Oryctolagus cuniculus: one gene and its partners. The protein of the gene in region 1 binds, or shares a complex with, the protein of each later gene. Links are inferred from orthologs where the notes say so. Each region holds a gene or a part of one and is shown on either strand. Other genes may lie near its edges.

Region 1 (4,740 bases):
GGGAGCAGATGCAGAAGAGGAAATTGGAACACCTCGGAAATTCACTGGTGACACCCCGCTAGGGAAACTGACAGCACAGGCTAATGTGGAGTGTAATCTTCAACAACACTTTGAAAAAGTAATATAACCTAGCCTCGCCTCAGTCTTGAATGATCTTTTTCTCTCTGTGTGTGATTTCTACTAACAGCAGAGCATCTTTCAAGTTAAGTCTTGAGTTTCTTCTACTAATTCATATTTAACATGCAAGCCTTAAAAGGTAATTTTCAAAACTATGGCATTTGGTACTCTTACATCTTTCTTCCTATTAATGATAGTTTGGGTATATTTTCCCAACATGCTTCCGTTTATCAGATTATATGCCTTTTGACATAAAAGGGAATTTATGCTTCCTTATTATTTGCTTCAATATAGACTCTTTCATATTCCTTTAAAATTTAGTGTGCTATCCTAGCCATGACATAAGCTATTAGTTCTTCTCTAAATCCAGCCCTTTAACTCTAGGCTTGTTGACCAAGGCTTAATTTTGTATTTATGTGTGAAATGGGTTGGAAGATGAGCTCAAATGGGAAACTCACTGGTTTAGAAGGTAGAAAACCTAAAATTTAGTCTTAGCTCTGCCATTAACTTTGTCAACTTAAGTAGGTTTTTAGCTTATCTGGGCACTTTCCTCGTAAATTAAAGTATAAGATAAAATGAGAGTATAGATAGAAAGTGCTGTTACTATGGGGCTGGAGTTATGTATCAGATTAAGTGGCTGCTTGTAGCGCCAGTATGATATATGGGTGCCAGTTTGAGTCCCAGCTGCTCCACTTCTGATCCAGCTCCCTGCTAAGGCACCTGGGAAAGCACCCATGTGGGAGGCCCAGAGGAAGCTTCTGGCTTCAGCCCTGCCCAGCCCTGGCTGTTGCAGCCATTTGGGGAGTGAACCAGGGATGGAAGAACTCTCTCTCTCTGTCTCTCCTTCTTCTCTCTCTAACTCGGCCTTTCAAATAAATTAAATAAATCTTTAAAAAAAAGTATTATTCAAATATAAAAATATTATTAGCATAGTATTGCTAAAAATTTGGTAGGTAATAAAGAGGGGAAAAGTAACTATCTATAAATTTGAATATGCATAGTATGTATACTGAATTACACAATAAGCAGGAAGTAAATGTTAATCTCACAGATTTTTCTTTTCTCATAGAAAAGATCATTTGCACCTTCTACCCCACTGACAGGACGGCGATATTTACGAGAAAAAGAAGCAGTCATTACTCCTGTTGCTTCTGCTACCCAAAGTGTGAGCCGCTTACAGAGCATTGTAGCTGGACTAAAAAATGCAGCAAGTGAACAACTTACAAATATTTTTGAGTAAGTTTAGTTCTATTATATAATCATGTGTTTAAAATTAGATTCTTATTCTGTTCTGTTTGTAGTATATTCAGCCTTCTTGAAATAGTGGATACACATTTGGCAAGTTCTACTTTACAGTTTCAACCACAATATATATTGACCTAAAACCAGATAGTAGTACTTTTTTTTTTTTTTTAATTGAAGTAACTTGTTTAAGAGGTATTTATTTATTGGAAAGGCATGGTTACAGAGAGGCAGGGGCAGAGAGAGAGAGAAAGAGAGGTTTTCCCATCTGCTGGTTCACTCCCCAGATGGCCTTAACGCCTGGAGCTGCACTGATCTGGAGCCAGGAGCTTCTTCCCACATAGGTGCAGGGGCTCAAGGACTTGGCTCAAAGACATCTTCTACTGCTTTCCCAGGCCATAACAGAGAGCTGGATCATATGTGGAGCAACCGGGATTTGAACCAGCACCCATATTGGATGCTGAAACTACAGGTGGTGGCTTTACCCGCTATGCCGTAGCGCCAGCCCCTGGATAGAAGTACTTATTAAAAATTGTATATAAATGTTATTCCACTGCTTTTCCCAGGCCATTAGCAGGGAACTGGATCAGAAGTGGAGCAGACAGGACCTGAACTAGAACCTACATGGGATGCTGGCATCTCAGGCAGTAGCTTTACCCACTTAGCCACATTGCCAGGCCCTATAAATGTTATTTTGTAGTATAGACTTCAAGGTTAATTGTATCCTAAAAGTTATTTGCCTCAGACATTTTAGGCTTATTACTACCTCTGAATTATACATATTTTTCCTTGTACATTGTGTTTTTGGTTTTTTTTTTTTTAGGATTTATTTATTTGAAAATCAGAGTTATAAAGAGAGAGGGAGAGACAGAGAGAATCTTCCATCCATTGGCTCACTCAATGGCCAGGGCTGGGCCAGGTCAAAGACAGGAGCTTCATCTGGGTCTCTCACATGGGTGGCAGGGACCCAGGTACTTGGGCCATTGTTTTTGCCATCCCCAGCACATTAGTAGGAACCTGGATCAGAAGTGGAGCAGATGGGACTTGGAAGTGGTGCTTATATGGGATGGTGGCAGGAGAGGCAGTTGCTTAACCCCCTGCACTAGGGTAGCAGCTCCTCAAGCAGTGTCTTAAGTACCATGCTAAACATACAACCTTAAACTATTTGTTAAAAGATTTGTTTATTTTGAAAGGTAGAGTTACAGAGAGAGAAGGAAAGAGAGAGAGGTCTTCCATTCACTAGTTCACTCCTCAAATGGCCGCAACGGTTGGGGCTGGACTGATCTGAAGCCAGGGGCCAGGAGATTCTTCCAGTTCTCCCATATGGGTACAGGGGCCCAAGGACTTAGGCAATCTTCTGCTACCTTCCCAGATGCATTAAGAGGGAGCTGGATCAGAAGTGGAGCAGTTGGGACTTGAACCAGCACCCAATTGGGATGCCAGCGCTGCAGGCAGCAGCTTTACCCACTTTGCCATAGCACTAGCCCCTAAACTGTTTCTTAAAGAGAAATCTTGTTAGTTTTCTTTTTTTCTGATAATTAGGTTCCTCTTTGTATTTTATAGATCTTGTATACGTAATCCTGTGGAAAACATTACAAAAATAGTGAAAGGAATAGGAGAGACTTTCTGCCAACACTATACCCAATCAACAGATGAACAGCCAGGATCTCACATAGGTAAGAAGAGAAAACTAAGTTGGCATAGCATTGTCCCCAAAACAGAACTTCGATTTTTCCTTTTCTGTTACTCTTAATGTATCAGATTTAAATTTATACGATAAATGTTGTTCTTTAACACAATTTAAATTTATACGATAAGTTTTGTTTTCAACCCTTAACTTGATTTCATTAGCATATGTTTTCCCTTTACTTCTCTTACAGACTTTGCTATAAACAGACTTAAGCTGGCAGAAATTTTATATTATAAAATATTAGAGACTGTAATGGTTCAGGAAACGCGAAGACTTCATGGAATGGATATGTCTGTAAGTAAATCCCCTCTCCCAGCCACTGGGGAGGTCAGGAAGTCCTGGCCTAGAAGTGGTGTCCAGGAGGCTCTGCAGCTGTAGAGGGCCTTCTGGGGTCAGCAGTTTATGGCACACTTGGTCAAGATGACATTTTCACTGGCCTCAGTTGAATTTGCCACAGCTAGGGCTAGCCATACATGCTCATATTTGGGATGCTGTCAGTGTCCTTTTCCCTTAGTCCTTTTTGTGTCCTTCATTCCCCTACTGTGTCAGCTCCCCTACTGATAACTGAGGTGTTTGTTTATAACTCCCTGTGCTTTTAGATCATAACGTGGTGGTAGTTGTTTTTTTTTTTAAGATTTATTTATTTTTTTTTAATTTTTCTTTTGTAGATTTATTTATTTTACTTGAAAGTCAGAGTTACAGAGAGAGGAGAGGCAGAGAGAGGGACAGAGAGAGAGGTCTTCCATCTAATGGTTCACTCCCCAGTTGGCCACAACGGCCGGAGCCGCACCGATCCAAAGCCAGGAGCCATGAGCTTCCTCCAGGTCTCCCACGTGGGTGCAGGGGCCCAGGCACTTGGGCCATCTTCTATTGCTTTCCCCGGCCACAGCAGAGAGCTGGACAAGAAATGGAGCAGCCGAGTCTCGAACTGGCACCCATATGGGATGCCGGCACTTGAGGCCAGGGCATTAACCCGCTGTGCCACAGCACCAGCCCCAAGATCTATTTATTTGAAAGAGTTATAGAGGCACAGAGAAAGAGAGAGAGAGATCTTCCATCCACTGGCTCACTCCCCAAATGACCGCAACTGCCAGAGCTGTGCCGACATGGAACCAGGAACTTCTTCCAGGTCTCCCAAATGGTTGCAGGGGCCCAAGGACCTGGGCCATCTTTCACTGCTTTCCCATGCCGGCAGAGTCCAACTGCAGCAGCCACGAGTCCAACTGGTGCCATACGGGATGCCGGCTCTGCAGTTGGTGGCTTTACCAGCTCCATCACAGAACTAGCCCTGGGTTTTTTTTTTTAAATACTTTTTTTCTTTGAACTTTTGACGAAGTCTGACCACTCTCCAATAGCTATGTAAAAACATTTCTACAAAGTCAAACCTCTTAAATGATCTTTGATCTTTCAGTTTCATCCTCTCTTCCCTGCAGTCACTAGTCTTCTGATCTTCTATTCCAGTAGGAATAGCTTGATATCTAAGGATGCAGTATAATTATTATACCATTTTTCTTTGTTTTCACTCTGGAAATTTTCTTCATATCTCTTCATTGTGGTTCCCCTTTTTTTTATCTTTAAATTATTTATTTAAAAGGCAGACATATTGAAGCCGGCATTGTGGCGTAGCCGTCAAAGACGCTGCCTGCAATGCTGGCATGCCATATGGGCATCAGTTTGTGTCCTGCTGATGC
Region 2 (4,740 bases), on another chromosome or scaffold:
ATCCTGATCCTGTGGGTGTTGGAAACCACGGGCCCTGTTACTGACATCAGGACCTCAGGCAGCATGTAGGTGCCTCGGAATGTATTTGTTGTTGAGTGGGATCATTCCAATCCGTATGTAGAAATGCTTAATTTTTAATTAATTCCTTCATACAGGTGGGCTGCTTCTTTAAATTTTCGAGTGCTATTTTGCATGCCCTGTGTTAATTCATTTAAAACTCTAACTCACTTGTCCATATTACATTACAGTATTTTTTCTTTTGATCATTACAGCAAATCGCTTTTAAAAACTTGGTGCAAAGGAATCGGCGGAGCGAACAGCAGAACCAGGGCCCTCCAGCGCAGAACTCCACCATTCAGCTGCCGTTTATAATCATCAACACAAGCAAGAAGACAGTGATAGACTGCAGCATCTCCAGTGACAAGTGAGTGGGGATGTGGGGGCACGCAGGCCTGGCCCCCTGCGGGCGTGCTGTCCTCACGTGCACTCTGTCAGCCGCAGCCCCCCGAGGCTGCCCTGCCTGGGGTGCACAAATCGCCTCCTCAAGCCTAGGAGCCTTCTCCACGGCCACGCTGTCACGCGCCCTCCTCGGTCCCCTGTCCTGTCCAGGCACTGTGCTGCCTGAGTGACAGGCGAGGCCCGGCCTGGGCCCCAGCTGCGATGCATTTCCTGTGTGCAGTGGGTGAGAGCATCGCTGAGGGGCTGTGCCGAGGTGGGGTCCTGATTGCGTCCTGGCATAGTTCATTGTGCTCCTGTGTTTGCCATGTCGCTGTTGTGTGTTCCTGGGTACGAACGGATGGACATGAACATGCTAGGCACATTCTCTGCCTTTTACTTTATTTATTTCACATTTTTAACTACGATTGATATAACATTAATCTACATCATAGCAAGTTCGAAGTAGCACTTTTCAAATGCAGCATTACTTTGTCCCTCGTGGAACGTCTTGGCTGTTCCCAGTATCTTGAGAGGGTGAAGAGTGTGTACGGCGTGGGGTGGGCCTGGCCCTTGTGTGGCTTGCGCCTCCCACGCTGCCTGCTCCGAAGCTCCACTTCTCAAGAACTGACGGGAGTGATAGCAGAGCTTCCGTCGCCTTAGCCTTGTTGTGAGGCTGCAGTTGGACGATGCTTGAGGAGTCTCACTGGGGGCAGACACTTCACAGACGTCAGCTGCTGTGACAGCGGTCCGGGCTGCCTGGACGCCTGCGTGGTGTCTACTGTCTTGTCTTTTCTTTCTTTCTTTTTTTTAATTCTTTTAAAAGTTGATTATAAACCAGTTTTGCAGGTCACAAGGAAATAAAAGGACCATGTACAGCCTTACAGGAAACTGAAACTATTTTTTACTGTGTATGGACACATAGCCTCAATCACCAAGCATTTTAAAATTTATTTATTTCTTTTAAAATGTATGTGAAAGACACAGGGGCAGGTTCAGCCCGGAGGTCCATAAGTCTGAATTATTATTCATATCCTTGCAGTTTCTTTGCAAAGAAGTTCTAAAAGGACTGTTAACAATTCTCATTCAACTGAGAATTCTAGAAAATGGTTGACATCTTTTTTGAGGAAAAAATCCCCAAACTTGGCATTTTTAGTTAGTCTCTTTCAAATTAGTCTTGTTTTGTAGGGGAATTAATAATTCATATCTTCAGTTGTTTAAGTCTAAAAAAGGTATCAGGAAAACCTGGGACCCTTGACACACAAGATTATGGCAGCATGCCCCGAGGCTGGGGCCTGACAAGGGTTCTGTCTCTCCGGGCCACTGGCCCAGCCCTTTCCCAGCCTTCCTTGAGCGTACGGAAGGCATTCCTGAGCAGTAAACCTGTTCCTCAAACTGGGTCCCAAACCCTGGCTCTCAGTTTGGGGAGGCAGTCTTTCCTCTTATTGGCCAGGAGACTTTTCCCACAGGGAGGATTGAGTTTATAAAACCTTCTGCTGGGGGCCAGCACTGTAGCTCAGCTGGTTAAGCCCCTGCCTATGGCGCCGGCATCCCGTATGGACGCCATTGAGACCCGGCTGCTCCCCTTCCCATGCAGTAACGGAGGATGTCCCGAGTGCTTGGGCCCCTGCCCCCACTTGGGAGACCCTGAGGAAGCTCCTGGCTCAGTTGGTGTTGCAGCCATTTGGGGATCTCTCACTGTCACTCTCCTCTGTAACTCTGTCTTTCAAATAAATAAGTAAATCTCTTAAAAAAGAAAGAAAAACCATCTGCTTGTGACAGATGCCTGAAACCATCCCTGAAGTAGGCATCTACTGTGGATATTTTTTGTTCAAAAAAACTTGCTAGTGTACTTTATTCAAATCCACGTATTTCAGGACTTTCTGATTCAAGTTGTCTTTTTTTTTTTTTTTTTTTTTTTTTTTTTTTGGACAGGCAGAGTGGATAGTGAGAGAGAGAGACAGAGAGAAAGGTCTTCCTTTGCCGTTGGTTCACCCTCCAATGGCCGCCACGGCTGGCGCACTGCAGCCGGCGCACCGCGCTGATCTGAAGGCAGGAGCCAGGTGCTTCCCCTGGTCTCCCATGGGATGCAGGGCCCAAGCACTTGGGCCATCCTCCACTGCCTTCCCGGGTCACAGCAGAGAGCTGGACTGGAAGAGGGGCAACCGGGACTAGAACCCGGTGTGCCAGCGCCGCAAGGCGGAGGATGAGCCTATTGAGCCGTGGCACCGGCCTTCAAGTTGTCATTTTTATACTGATATAACATAAAGTGTTTCACCCTCCCATGATTTTAGTATGATTTGAGGACAAGGTGAGAATCCCCAGTCTGGAGCTTCCCCTGAACTCTGTCCCTGTGGTCGGGCCTTGGGTGAAGGTGCCGGAGGCCCAGTGGTGGACTCAGTGGCCGTGCCCTCTGCAGGCCCCTCTGTGTGGAAGGGTTGTGCTGGGCAGGTGAGCAGCGGGATTGAGGAGTTTGCAATGGCAATGTCTATGACACTTTTTCTTAAGATTTTGCACTCCTTAGCCTACCAAGTTAGGATTCATGGGTGCTTCAGTTTGGTAAGTCTTCCATATATTGCCCAGCTGAAGTATCCTGTATGGGTGGGTATTTGGCCCAGCAGTTGAGATGCCAGCCACGCTGCCTGTGTCTCACATCAGATTGCTTGGGTTTGAATCCTGACTCTGACTCCTGACTCCGGCTTCCTGCTAGTGCAGTCTCTGGGAGATGTAGTGGGGTCTCTGCCATTCATGTGCTAACTTTGAGTTTCTGGTTCTGGCTTTCTCTGCTTCAAATGAAAGAATAAATGAATGAATGAATGGATAAAATGCTGTATCCGGCGCCGCAGCTCACTAGGCTAATCCTCTGCCTTGTGGCGCCGGCACACCGGGTTCTAGTCCCGGTTGGGGCGCTGGAGTCTGTCCCGGTTGCCCCTTTTCCAGGCCAGCTCTCTGCTGTGGCCAGGGAGTGCAATGGAGGATGGCCCAAGTACTTGGGCCCTGCACCCCATGGGAGGCCAGGATAAGTACCTGGCTCCTGCCATCGGATCAACGCGGTGCGCCGGCCGCGGCAGCCATTGGAGGGTGAACCAACGGCAAAGGAAGACCTTTCTCTCTGTCTCTCTCTCTCACTGTCCACTCTGCCTGTCAAAAATAAAAAAAATAAAAATAAAATGCTGTAGGTAACACTGAGTCACGAACATGAAGTAAGCATTCAAAATGTTATATTTTTTCTTGAAGCGGATAAGCCAATTCACAGTCCAAATATCATTCGTTAAACTAGAAAGACTTCTTGTGTGGCAAAGCTGTAGACCATTTTGAAATGTATTGCATTCAGAATAAAACTTTTGATTCCTGCATGCAACAGCATTAGGGCTAAAGTTTATGTCTCGGGAAAGTTGTTTTAATTGGAAAAGCGCTTTCTGTGAGATGTCATTCCCCGAGCACTGCACAATGACTCATTGCTCCAAATGCTGACAGTTCTGGCCCTGTAGCTGAACTTAGGCCCTCGTTCTCTTGTTTAAAGTAGCTTGTACAAAACTATTCAGAGCTCTCCAGTACTAGCAGCGACCGCATACCGACTTTGTTTCCTGATGCAGGTTTGAGTATCTTTTCAATTTTGACAACACCTTTGAGATCCATGACGACATAGAAGTGCTGAAGCGGATGGGCATGTCCTTTGGCCTGGAGTCTGGCAAATGCTCTCTGGAGGATCTGAAACTTGCAAAATCTCTGGTGCCAAAGGCTTTGGAAGGCTACGTCACAGGTATGGTAACAGGCTCACACACCTACTCCCTGTCAAACCCCAACCTGTTCAAGCTTCTCCCATAGGAAACGGCAGAATTTTGGAAAATCTGTTCTTATGTCCCCAAATTGAGACTTTTAACCCCTTACTGAATACATTTAGGACTCCTCCCACCCACCCACCCCAAATTAGAATAAATAGGTTGTTTTCCTGACATTGGGAACTTCCACCTGTGTAGTACAGCATGCGTTACGGAGATCTAAACTGGCTGACTCATTACTGAGTTTGGCTCCCCAGTGATATCTTTATCTGTTCTTCCCAGCAGTCGGCCTAGAGCCTGGGCAGGGGAGAGCGCTCAGTAAGTGCTTGATGGAGTTTGTGAACATCCTTTCTGAGTGCCCTCTGGACCCTTCCAGGGCCACCTGGGCAGTCTGCAAGAGGAAGTAGGTGCCCCTCCGTCCTGCTCTCTGGGCTCCTTTGTTTTCTGTATTGTCTTTCTCTACATAAAAGTCAAAATAGAAAGTTTCAGCGCCAGAAAAACAAGGCCAGGACATGGTGACTAG
Region 3 (5,283 bases), on another chromosome or scaffold:
CAAATTCATGTGTTGATACCCCAACCCTTATTAGGATGGGATTTAGAAGTGGTGACTTTGGGAGTAGCGAGTCACAAGATAGAATCACAAGGATGGACGTCTTGTGATGAAATTAGTGCCTTTTTAAGAAGTCAGAAAGCTAGTTTCCCCGCTCCTCCCTCTCTTTGCCACAAGAAGACACAGGGAGAAAGCCACCATCCATGATCCAAGAAGAGGGCCCTCACGAAACTCACCATGCAGGCTCCTGAACTGTGAGCAAATAAATTTCTGTTGTAAGCCACCCAGTCAAAAGCCCAAGCTGGCTAATACACCACATAACTGTAATGGCTAATTGTAATTTTGTAAAATAACAATGTTAGCAATTCTTTTCAAATCTTGACTTCATCTTTAAATTAAAACTAGAACTTTAAGGAATACTATTGGACAGCAATCAATAACACTTATTTGCAAAACTTGCTTAATATTTGGCTAATGTCAAATCACATATACATAATTGTTCAAATCTAGTTCTAATAGATGAAAATTTTATGTTTAAGATTTTCATTCCAAGTTTTTTAAATAGAGTTGAGTAAAAAAAAGTTACTTGATTATTATTCTGTCTCTGTGAATGAGAGCCATAACACTTGTATTAAAATAGTGCATCCGGCTTCACTAGTTAATACTGTTGTTGACTATTTCACTTCAGTGACCCTTTTTTTGCTAGTTCCCTGTTAAACTAAGAAAAATCTTGCATGAAATTTGATTAATGAATATTTGCCAAATGAAGCTGTCATTCACCTTCCTATTGTGTGACACCAAATCGTTTAAAATGTAGTTTTAATGCTCAAGAATTTGTAATACAATGAGAAAGCATTCTTTTACTCAGATCTGCATGACAGCATTTAGGACAGAGGCACAAGAATCTGTGAGCTTCAACTATTCCAAATAATACAATATCCTTTGGTTCCGGCAGATCATTAAGCACTTGTTTAAACGCAGGAGATCCGGGATCTAGCGGCTTTTTCTCTGGACTTTCACCCCCCCTCTCTCTACACACCACTGTCTCCATCTACGAGGTAAAGGCTTTGAAAAGGACTCTTTGATTACTCCAGGACTCCACTTTTCCTGTATTCTGACTCTACGAAGACCGTACTTGGTCCCAGTCATGGAAATGTCTGCAAACGACGCAGAAGTTGGGAAACAGCAAAGGAGCGAGAAGCCTGCCCACAACCAAGAGTGACGGCAGGAGGCTGATCCGCAGCTCTGCACTCCGACAAGTCCGCCAACTTCTCAGCTCCCAAAGTTTCGTCCGCGGGGCAGCGAGGTCGCTAGATCAGAGGGAAGTCTCCTCGTGTCTCCTTTTCCGTCAGACCCGAGATGCCCTGAGGGAGCCCTTCGGTTCCCGAGGCGCTCGCCGGCGTCGCGGGCGAGCGTGAAATCCGCTCCGCCACGCTCCGCCACGCTCCCGGCGCCCGGCGCGCCCCTCCTACCCACAGAAAAATGCGTTTCCAGGCAACGGCGCGCCGCGGCGTCACTTCCTGCCATTTAAACTCCGGTCCCCACCCCTCGCAGCCCCTTCTGGCTCCCACTCCCCCTTCCCTGAGTCGTGGGCTTGCTTCGTGCTTCCCCGAGCTTGGGGAGGGGGCGGAGGCCCGGCGCGCCCGAGCGGCCCCGCGTCGTCGCGGACGCCGCTGCGCACCTGTTGTGCGCAGGAGCCCGGGCCTCTCCGTGCGGTTCTCGGCGGGCGCTGGGAGCGGCCGAGGCAGAACCAACCCTGCAGGTGGCCCCGGGCGGGGCGGGCGAGCGGCTGTGCGCGGAGGCCGGACCGCCGCGGTCCCGGGACGCGATGGCGGCGGCCGAGCCCGCGGGCTCGGGCCAGCAGGCGCCGCCCGGACAGGGGCAGAGTCAGCGGCCGCAGCCGCAGCCTCCGCAGGCGCAGCAGCTCCCGCAGCCGTCGCCGCCGCCGCCGCAGCAGCAACTCGGGGGCGCGGGTGGCGGTGGCGGTAGCAGCAGGCACGAGAAGAGCCTGGGGCTGCTCACCACCAAGTTCGTGTCGCTGCTGCAGGAGGCCAAGGACGGCGTCCTGGATCTCAAAGCGGTGAGCTTGGGAGGCGGGAATGGGGGCGGACTTCGGTGCCCGTGGCTTGGGGGAGAAGCCCAGCCCCTTGCGGCGTGGTGTGGACGCGGCCCGCGGGAACCGGGGCCCCAGAAAACCGGGGCCATGTGGCCCTGATGCCCGGTTGCGGGCGCTGGGAAGGGGGAGGGAAGAGGAACCGGGATCGCCTCCGCCGGCCGCGTAACCAATGAGGTCCGACGCCGCGCGGGGCTCTCGACAAAGAGCCGCGGATCTGGAGCCCGCGCGCGTGGCTCCTGCCTTGGGACGCGGGGACCCCGGGACAAGCGAGGGTGTGCGGCCACCTGTGGCAGGGGCGTGGGGGTGGCCCGGAGCTTTGCCGGCAGACGACCTGGGGGTTGATTTGCTGTTGGGGATGGATGGTTTTGTAGTGATTCTGGTTGGAATTGTACTGTTTTAAAAAAGAAAGAGCCCGGCGTGCCTTCTCTTCTGGATGAAAGGGAGAAAAGAAATGTTCGTAGCCCATGTTAAAGTAGCGATAGTACAAAAAAAAGTTTTCATGAAATACTTCCTTTCATCATCGTGGTGATTAGGATTTGATCTATGGCTTAATTCGACATCAGTCACAGATTTCGCAAAGTGTGATTTGCCATCGCACCAAAAGGGGCTGTTTTATAACTTGACCCACACAGGTGGAAGCGCTCAGTAAACCTGGCGGTTTTGTGAAAACTTGTATTTCGCCCTTTACTGCGACCTAGATTTTTTAAACCAAAAAACGTGCAAAAAAACTTTTTGGTGGTGCAGAATGACTTAACCGTTCGTGGCAGGATCTGGAAGAATTCCACAACTCTGAGGGGGAGGGGAGAGAATGTGACGGCTTGCTTTAAAACTCAGCTACTCACACCAAGTTTAAGGAAGAACCAAAGTTTTACAATCAAAAAAATACTAAGTAGCCGGTGCGGTAGTCCCTGCGGACTCTGGCATCCCTCCCACCAGCCCACACCCCCGAAGCTGGCTTTACTGGGAAGATTGGTCCCTGCACTCAGGGCAGTGCCTGGACCACCTTGCCTGACCTGTAGGGGTCCCTGCCATCCTCAAGGCTGTGCCTAATTGCAGTAGAAGCCTCATCAGCTGAGGAGGAGCGCGCCTAATTGCAGTAGAAGCCGCATCTGAGGGGGAGCGCCACAGCCAGTACTTCCCAATGGAAGACAGATTGCAGGGCCCTGCTCCGTGGCTTCCCGGTGCAGCCCGGAGAGGAGGTGTGTCTTTCCATGCCCTCGTCTTCCCTGGATGTAGTAGGTGTTCAGTAAGGTGGCTGGTGAATTATCTGAATTGTTCTGCGGAATTCAGATGAAACAGACTGCATTTTGGAAAGTAGTTTGTGCTATCTTGAAATATTATTCCTGGATTTCCCCCCCGCCCCACCTTCCACAATTCCTTATTCTCTTCCCCTGCCCCCCATAGCTGCTTTTTTTCCACCTGCTCTGAAAATGCTTTATGGCACATGTGATACTGTGATGAATTAAAATGGATTCTGTTTGAAGAATTTTCCCAGGAAGACATTAGGTCATCAGATACAGCCAGGGATGTTAAAAAATTCAGATTACAAATTGCTACTCAAATTGTAGAAATTCAGTTGTAGATTTTTGACTTTAGTATAATAGGGAAGTTTGGGGTTTTTTAGATAAAAACCAACCTCCGGGGACTGCAATTCTTGAATTTCTCCCTCAACATGCCTCCTAATAGGATTGAGCTTTGCCTTTGCTTGACCTTAAACGCTTTTTACTTCCTCCTGTTTCATCTGTGGCCATGACGTTGCTCTGTGGAAGTCACAGAGGTAGTGAATAGGATGTAGTGTGGTATTTCATAACAGCTTTCCTTCATCCTGGAACTCTCCTAAAAGTTAAAGATTTCTGCGGTAATATGTCTCATTCTGTTGATGACTTGCTATTTCTGGAGAACTGTTGGAGTGTCATTCTTCTTCACATATATGAAAAATATGTACATTTTACTTATATTTTCCACTTATTAATGTAAATATTTTTAAAAGTTCAAGGAGAATAGAATTAAAACTAAGTTTATTTTGATGGAAAAAGTTTTTGAAATTGCCACATTGGTTTGGTGCCTGGTTAGAGGCTGGTGGATGGTTATGGCAGAGTGCATACAGAGGAAGGATTGTATGGTGAGCCGGGAAGCAGAGTGGTTGGACCAGCATCAGGCTTGTATAACCTACTCTCTCCAACTACCTTCCAAGGGCACACCCCCAGTACCTAAGGGGTGGCCCGCTCCTCAACACCATATCAGTGTATGACTTAAGGGTTTAACAGTCAGCCTGAGTTTGGGAGCCATGTCCTAGCCAAGCCATAGCACATGCTGTTTTCTAATATATACCGCTGAAAAATAAGGACATCATTTTGTCTTTTAGTGGTATATTAATATATATTAACTTATTAACATAACTAATTGAGGACAAAGCTATACTGAGTAAATCAGTTCTAACAAAGCTGTTCTGGAATAATCTGACAATTATGGAGGAATGGAAACACATTGGAATTGATTTGAGGAAATTGTCTCCAGTACCTCCCCACTTCACTTGCGTTAAAGTCTCGTTTGTAATGGTGGAAGTGGAATGGTTATCACTTATTTTTTTTCCAGTGAGTTGAGAAGTTGTATCATGATATACAGTTTGCCAGTTTATACTGTTAATACAGTTAACACTTATTGAGAGTTTACTGTGTGCCAGGCATTTTGCATCTGTTAACCAATTTTGTGCTCTTCACAATGGAAGTTTGGGGGCCTGGTATCGCCATTTCACGGTTGAGAAACTGCTAGGGTAAGTAAGCCGAGATGAGTCCAGTAACTTACCCAGTATCATATGGTAAAAATGGAGGGCCAAGATTTGAAGCTAACTCATTAGTTATTGTGCTCTATTCTTTATGACCCTTCTCTAGTCCTAAAAATAAACAAGTTTTCTTTTGAGTAAAGGCATGGAGTCTGTCTTGTGAAGGAAAATGTATTATTTTACTTCTCTACTCGGGGTAGAAGAGAGGGAATTACGGAGCCCCCATGTTGAAAATGAAAGGATTGAAAGCAGATTCCAATTATTTAGCAGATAGAACTAGGGTTCTTTTTTCTACAGGTAAGAATTTAAAGCATGGCTAAGATAGTTAAGACTAATTTTATGTTATTTCGAAAGTTCCTATTAAATATTTAACTGAATTTCTGTATTT
Region 4 (4,740 bases), about 6.1 Mb from region 1:
CCCTGGAAGGCCCTGAGGTTCTGCTGTGAAGTGTTGGGCTTGTTCCACTGGCACTGTGAGTTTTTTTTCCCCCTTCTTAAAGATTTATTTATTTGAGAGGCAGAGAGAGAGAGCTGTCTTCCATCTGCTGATTCACTCCCTGAATGGCCACAGTGGTCAGAGCTGAGCTGATCTGAAGCCAGGAGCCTGGAGCTTCTTCTGATTTTCCCGCATGGGTGCAGGGGCCCAAGCACATGGGCCATCTTCTGCTTTCTGATGCCATAGCAGAGGGCTGGATTGGAAGTGGAGCATCCGGGACTAGAACCAGTGCCCATATGGAATTCCGGCACTGTAGGTGGAGGCTTAGCCCACTACGCCACAGCTCCGGCCCCAGGAAGTGAGGTTTTAAAGCAGGGGAGCCCTGCCTCCTGGTTTGGACAGCTACCCTGTCCCTCTCTACGTCCCCTGGCTAAGGGAAGCTTTCCTTCTGTTTTATATGCACTAATCTGTGTAGGTAGCTAGGAGTAGACATTGGGGCGGCATTGGGCTAAGAGATTGGTGTGGGGGCCTGTGTTGTGGCTTAGCAGGTTCAGCCACAACCTGCCGTGCTGGTGGTTCAAGTCTACTTCCGATCCAGCTCCCTGTTAACACACCTGGGAAAGCAGTGTGGGAAATGGCACAGGTGCTTGGGCCCCTGTGCCCATCTGGGAGACCTGGATGGAGTTCTAGTCCTGGCTTCAGCCTGGCCCAGCCCTGGCCTTAACCCTTTCTCAGGGCACAGTATGGCAGTGTTAAGTATTCCCCATGGTCTACGGGGCAGCAGATCTTAGGAAGCTTTCTGTTTTCTGAGAAATGGAACTCTTACCTTTTGGGCACTAATTCTCTCCCCAGCCCTTGGCTGCTAGGTGCCTGCTTTCTGTTTCTGTGGCTTTGACTGCTCTCGGTACCTCGTGACTGGAAGCACACAGTACTTGTCCTTTTGTGACTGGCTTATTTCATGGAACAAAATGTCCTCAAGGGTTGTCCCTGTTCCATCTAGTATGTTTCAGAATTTCCTTTTTTTTTTTTTTTTTTTTTTTTTTTTAGTTTGCCTTCTTTTTAATTAGAGATTTGTTTATTTACTTATTCAAATGGCAGAGTGACAGAGCAAGAGAGACAGAGCTTCCATCCACTGGCTCATTCCCCGAATTGCTGTTGACAGCTGGGGCTGGACCAGGCAGAAGCCAGGAGCTCAGAGCTCCATCCAGGTCTTGCACGTGGGTGCAGGGGCCTGAGCCGTCTCCTGCTCTGCTAGTCACATTAGCAGGAAGCTGCGTCGGGGCCGAATAGCCCGGGACTCGAACCCACACTTTGATATGAGATGCTGGTGTGGCAAGTGGTGGTTTAATCCGTTGTGCCACATTAGCCTCTGTTTTTCTTCATTTTTTTTTTAAGACTGGGTCATATTTCATTGATGTCTTTACCATGTTTTCTTTGTGTATATCATATTTTTTAAAAATTTTACTTATTAGACAGAAATCTTCCATATGCTGATTTACTCTCAATGCCTCTAACAGCTGGGGCTGGGCCAGACCAAAACCAGGAGCCAGGAATTTCATTCAAGTCTCCTGCATGGGTGTCAGGGACTCAAGTACTTGAGCCAGAGTACACATTGTTAGCAGGAAGCTGGAATAGGAGCAGAGCTGGGATTTGAACTCAGGCACTCTGATATGAGAAAGTGTGTCCCAAGTGACATATTTTTTTTTTTTTAAGATTTATTTATTTATTTATTTGAAAGGCAGAGTTACAGAGAGGCAGAGAGACAGAGAAATCTTCTATCTGCTGGTTTACTCTCCAAATGCCCACTACAGTTGGAGCTGGGCTGGTCTGAAGCCAGGAGCCTGGAGCTTCTTCCAGGATTCGCATGCGGGTGCGGGGGCCCAAGGACTTGGGCCATCCTCCACTGTTTTCCCAGGCACATTAGCAGGGAGCATCGTTGGAAATGGAGCAGCTGGGACTTGAACCGGTGCCCATATGGGATGCTGGCACTGCTGGCAGTAGCTTTACCTGCTACACCACAGCGCCAGGCCCCCCAAGTGCCATCTTAACTGCTATTCCAAATACTCCTATATATTTTATTTCTATAAAATTGAGAAATACTTTATATACAATCAACTGCCGTTCGACGTACAGCTCAGTGAATTTCACAGGTGCTTGTTTACAGCCACGAATAGCAGCAGTCACGTTCCAGAACATTCCACTACCCCCAACACAGTCCTCGCTCTCCTTGCTGTCTCTTTTGTCCGACCACTGGCTTCCTTTTTGTTCCTGTATCTTAGTTCACATCTTCTAGATTCCGTGTGCGTGGAATGATCCGGTATGTCCCCGTTTATGTCTGACCTATCAGGATCCCGAGATGCACGTTGTGTGACAGTAGCTCCTCTTCAGGAGAACGTGTCTTCTGCCTGCTCTCAGTTCTGCCCATGGCTACCCCACCTCCAGAGCCGAGTCCTGTCACCCCGGGCCTGGGTGCAGTATTGGCCTCGCATGTCCACTCTGCCTCCTTCCATCCCCTTTCCTGCCTTGCAGCAAGCACGTTGGAGCCCTTGTCACAAGCCATTGGACCGTAAATGCTCACTGCTCAGATGCCGCGGTGGCTTAGCCTGCTGCAGAGGCGTCAGTTTTGCATGAGGCCTGGTCCCTGCCGTCCCTCCAGAACCATCTCGCGTCCCTTGTTCACTTGAGTCCAGTGTTCCAGCTTTGCGTTCCCATTACTGTGCATCTCTTTGTGTCTCTGAGCTTTCGATGAGCTCTCCCTAGACCATAAGCCCCTCAGGGTTGCTGCCTGCCGCTGTGACTGCCATTCCTGGCGCGCAGTAGGTGGTCATTTTAAGCCGGGATGGAAGGACGGAGCTGTTCTTGGAGGGGCTACTGTTGGGGGCGCCTGGGAGGCGGCCTCCTGCACAGTGTGCGCTGAGCTCTGTCTTCCTCGTGTTGGCAGGATGAGCAGCTGAGGGCCCTGGTGAGGCAGTTCGGACAGCAGGATTGGAAGTTCCTGGCCAGCCACTTTCCTGTGAGTATGGCAGGGGTTCTCGCCGACCTACCACTGTGCCGGGGACAAGCTTCCTGCCAGGGAGAAGGCGAGGGAGTTCTTACCAGTTCCCTCCGAAGGAGAACCACGTAAAAGACGACTGTGTTCATGGGACCTTGCTTCCCAGAGGCGAAGCCTCTGCCCACAGCTGCCTCGTGTGTCCGGGGCTTTGCGGGGTTTGTAGCTGTGGCCAGTGACATGCTTATTTGCATTGCTTCGTGCACTGCTGGAGCGGATGGGTGCTGGGTTCCTCAACAGTGAGGCTGCAGCTGGGGGCAGGTGGTGCTTCCGCCGGCTGCGGCTGCACAGTAAGGCCCTGCAGCCACCCCACCCCCAGGCTGCAGGTGTCTGCTCTCTGGCTTACTGCCTGGGTCCCCAGGGCCACTAGAGGTCGGAGCCACCAGAGCCCTTTTGTCCACTTTGTTCATCTGCTTTTCATCCGTGTGGTGCTTCAGAAATAGAAACACTCTCCCAAAAGAAAGCAGGGATCTGGAACCTCATGAGTCTGTTACAGGCTTGGCAGGGGTGGCTGCCTGTGTGGGTAGTGGGAGGTGATCTTCTACAGGGGCCCGAACCTGTCCCCGTCTGCAGCAAAGGGAAGCCACGCGTGTCCTCGTGTGTGGGCCTGCAGTGTGTGGTGGGGGTGGTGGTGGTGGCATACACTGGGCCCTGAACCCCTGAGCCCAGTGCTCCAAAGGGTCCCAGCCCATGGATCAGGAGTTCTCACAGATTCCTGAATGTTCTTCCTGTTCACTTCCCAGAACCGCACTGACCAGCAATGCCAGTACCGGTGGCTGAGAGTTTTGAATCCAGATCTTGTCAAGGGGCCCTGGACCAAAGAGGAGGACCAGAAGGTAACTCAGCCACCTGTATTCAGTGGGCCTTCACCCACCTGCAGGGCAGCAGGCACCGTTGTGGGCATGTCCATGCACATGAACCTGGGAGTGAGCCAGCCTGCGATCAGCCCGGGTGTCCCCAGGTGTCCAGTTCGAGGCCCCAGGTCCTGATCCAGAGGGTCTGCAATCAGGAGCTGGGGCTGTTGGGCAGAACACTCAGCTTCTTGGTCCCTGCAGTAGGGTTTTTGTGAAGGTTGGACAGGTGATGCACGGGAGGGGTTTGTGTGGTCCCTGCACCAGCTGAGCTTACAGAGGGTGGCAGGTGCTATTTTCTTGTTATAACGGTGACTGTGCCTGGTGAACCGTTTTCCTGGGCACTGAGCCTTGTAAATGCTGTGTCCTTTTTTTTTTTTTTTTTTTTTTTTTTTTTTTTTTTTAATTTATTTTTTTTTGACAGGCAGAGTGGACAGTGAGAGAGAGAGACAGAGAGAAAGGTCTTCCTTTGCCGTTGGTTCACCCTCCAATGGCCGCCGCGGCCTGCGCGCTGCGGCCGGCGCACCGCGCTGATCCGATGGCAGGAGCCAGGAGCCAGGTGCTTTTCCTGGTCTCCCATGGGGTGCAGGGCCCAAGCACCTGGGCCATCCTCCACTGCACTCCCTGGCCACAGCAGAGGGCTGGCCTGGAAGAGGGGCAACCGGGACAGAATCCGGTGCCCCGACCGGGACTAGAACCCGGTGTGCCGGCGCCGCTAGGCGGAGGATTAGCCTAGTGAGCCGCGGCGCCGGCCCTGCTGTGTCCTTTTGATCACAGTCGTGTGAATGGGTACAAGGGGACATCAAGGCTCAGAGTAGGGTG

What was found.
Region 2: RBL1 (region 1) and TFDP2 share a complex: the UniProt entries of both Homo sapiens proteins name them as parts of the DREAM complex. The link is inferred for Oryctolagus cuniculus from reciprocal best matches to the Homo sapiens genes RBL1 and TFDP2.
Region 3: the proteins of RBL1 (region 1) and E2F5 are in contact, whole or in part, in a crystal structure (PDB 5TUV), measured with the Homo sapiens proteins. The link is inferred for Oryctolagus cuniculus from reciprocal best matches to the Homo sapiens genes RBL1 and E2F5. Residues at the interface, in NP_002886.2 of Homo sapiens: Ser1000, Ala1001, Leu1002, Leu1003, Tyr1004, Lys1005, Phe1006, Asn1007, Ile1017, Met1020, Ile1021, Gly1024, Glu1025; in NP_001942.2 of Homo sapiens: Met162, Ile190, Ala192, Pro193, Ser194, Gly195, Thr196, Gln197, Leu198, Glu199, Val200, Pro201, Ile202, Pro203, Glu204, Met205, Tyr213, Leu217.
Region 4: RBL1 (region 1) and MYBL2 share a complex: the UniProt entries of both Homo sapiens proteins name them as parts of the DREAM complex. The link is inferred for Oryctolagus cuniculus from reciprocal best matches to the Homo sapiens genes RBL1 and MYBL2.

Annotation. Positions count from the first base shown.
Region 1 is NC_091442.1:21,427,259-21,431,998, forward strand, and holds part of RBL1 (retinoblastoma-like protein 1), read left to right. Parts: coding exon 1-118; intron 119-1,186; coding exon 1,187-1,353; intron 1,354-2,922; coding exon 2,923-3,035; intron 3,036-3,239; coding exon 3,240-3,343; intron 3,344-4,740. UniProt on the Homo sapiens protein: Key regulator of entry into cell division. Directly involved in heterochromatin formation by maintaining overall chromatin structure and, in particular, that of constitutive heterochromatin by stabilizing histone methylation.
Region 2 is NC_091435.1:139,901,728-139,906,467, forward strand, and holds part of TFDP2 (transcription factor Dp-2), read left to right. Parts: intron 1-272; coding exon 273-424; intron 425-4,031; coding exon 4,032-4,198; intron 4,199-4,740. UniProt on the Homo sapiens protein: Can stimulate E2F-dependent transcription.
Region 3 is NC_091437.1:110,675,741-110,681,023, forward strand, and holds the start of E2F5 (transcription factor E2F5), read left to right. Parts: upstream 1-1,584; 5' UTR 1,585-1,825; coding exon 1,826-2,077; intron 2,078-5,283.
Region 4 is NC_091442.1:15,288,019-15,292,758, reverse strand, and holds part of MYBL2 (myb-related protein B), read left to right. Parts: intron 1-2,959; coding exon 2,960-3,031; intron 3,032-3,810; coding exon 3,811-3,903; intron 3,904-4,740. UniProt on the Homo sapiens protein: Transcription factor involved in the regulation of cell survival, proliferation, and differentiation. Transactivates the expression of the CLU gene.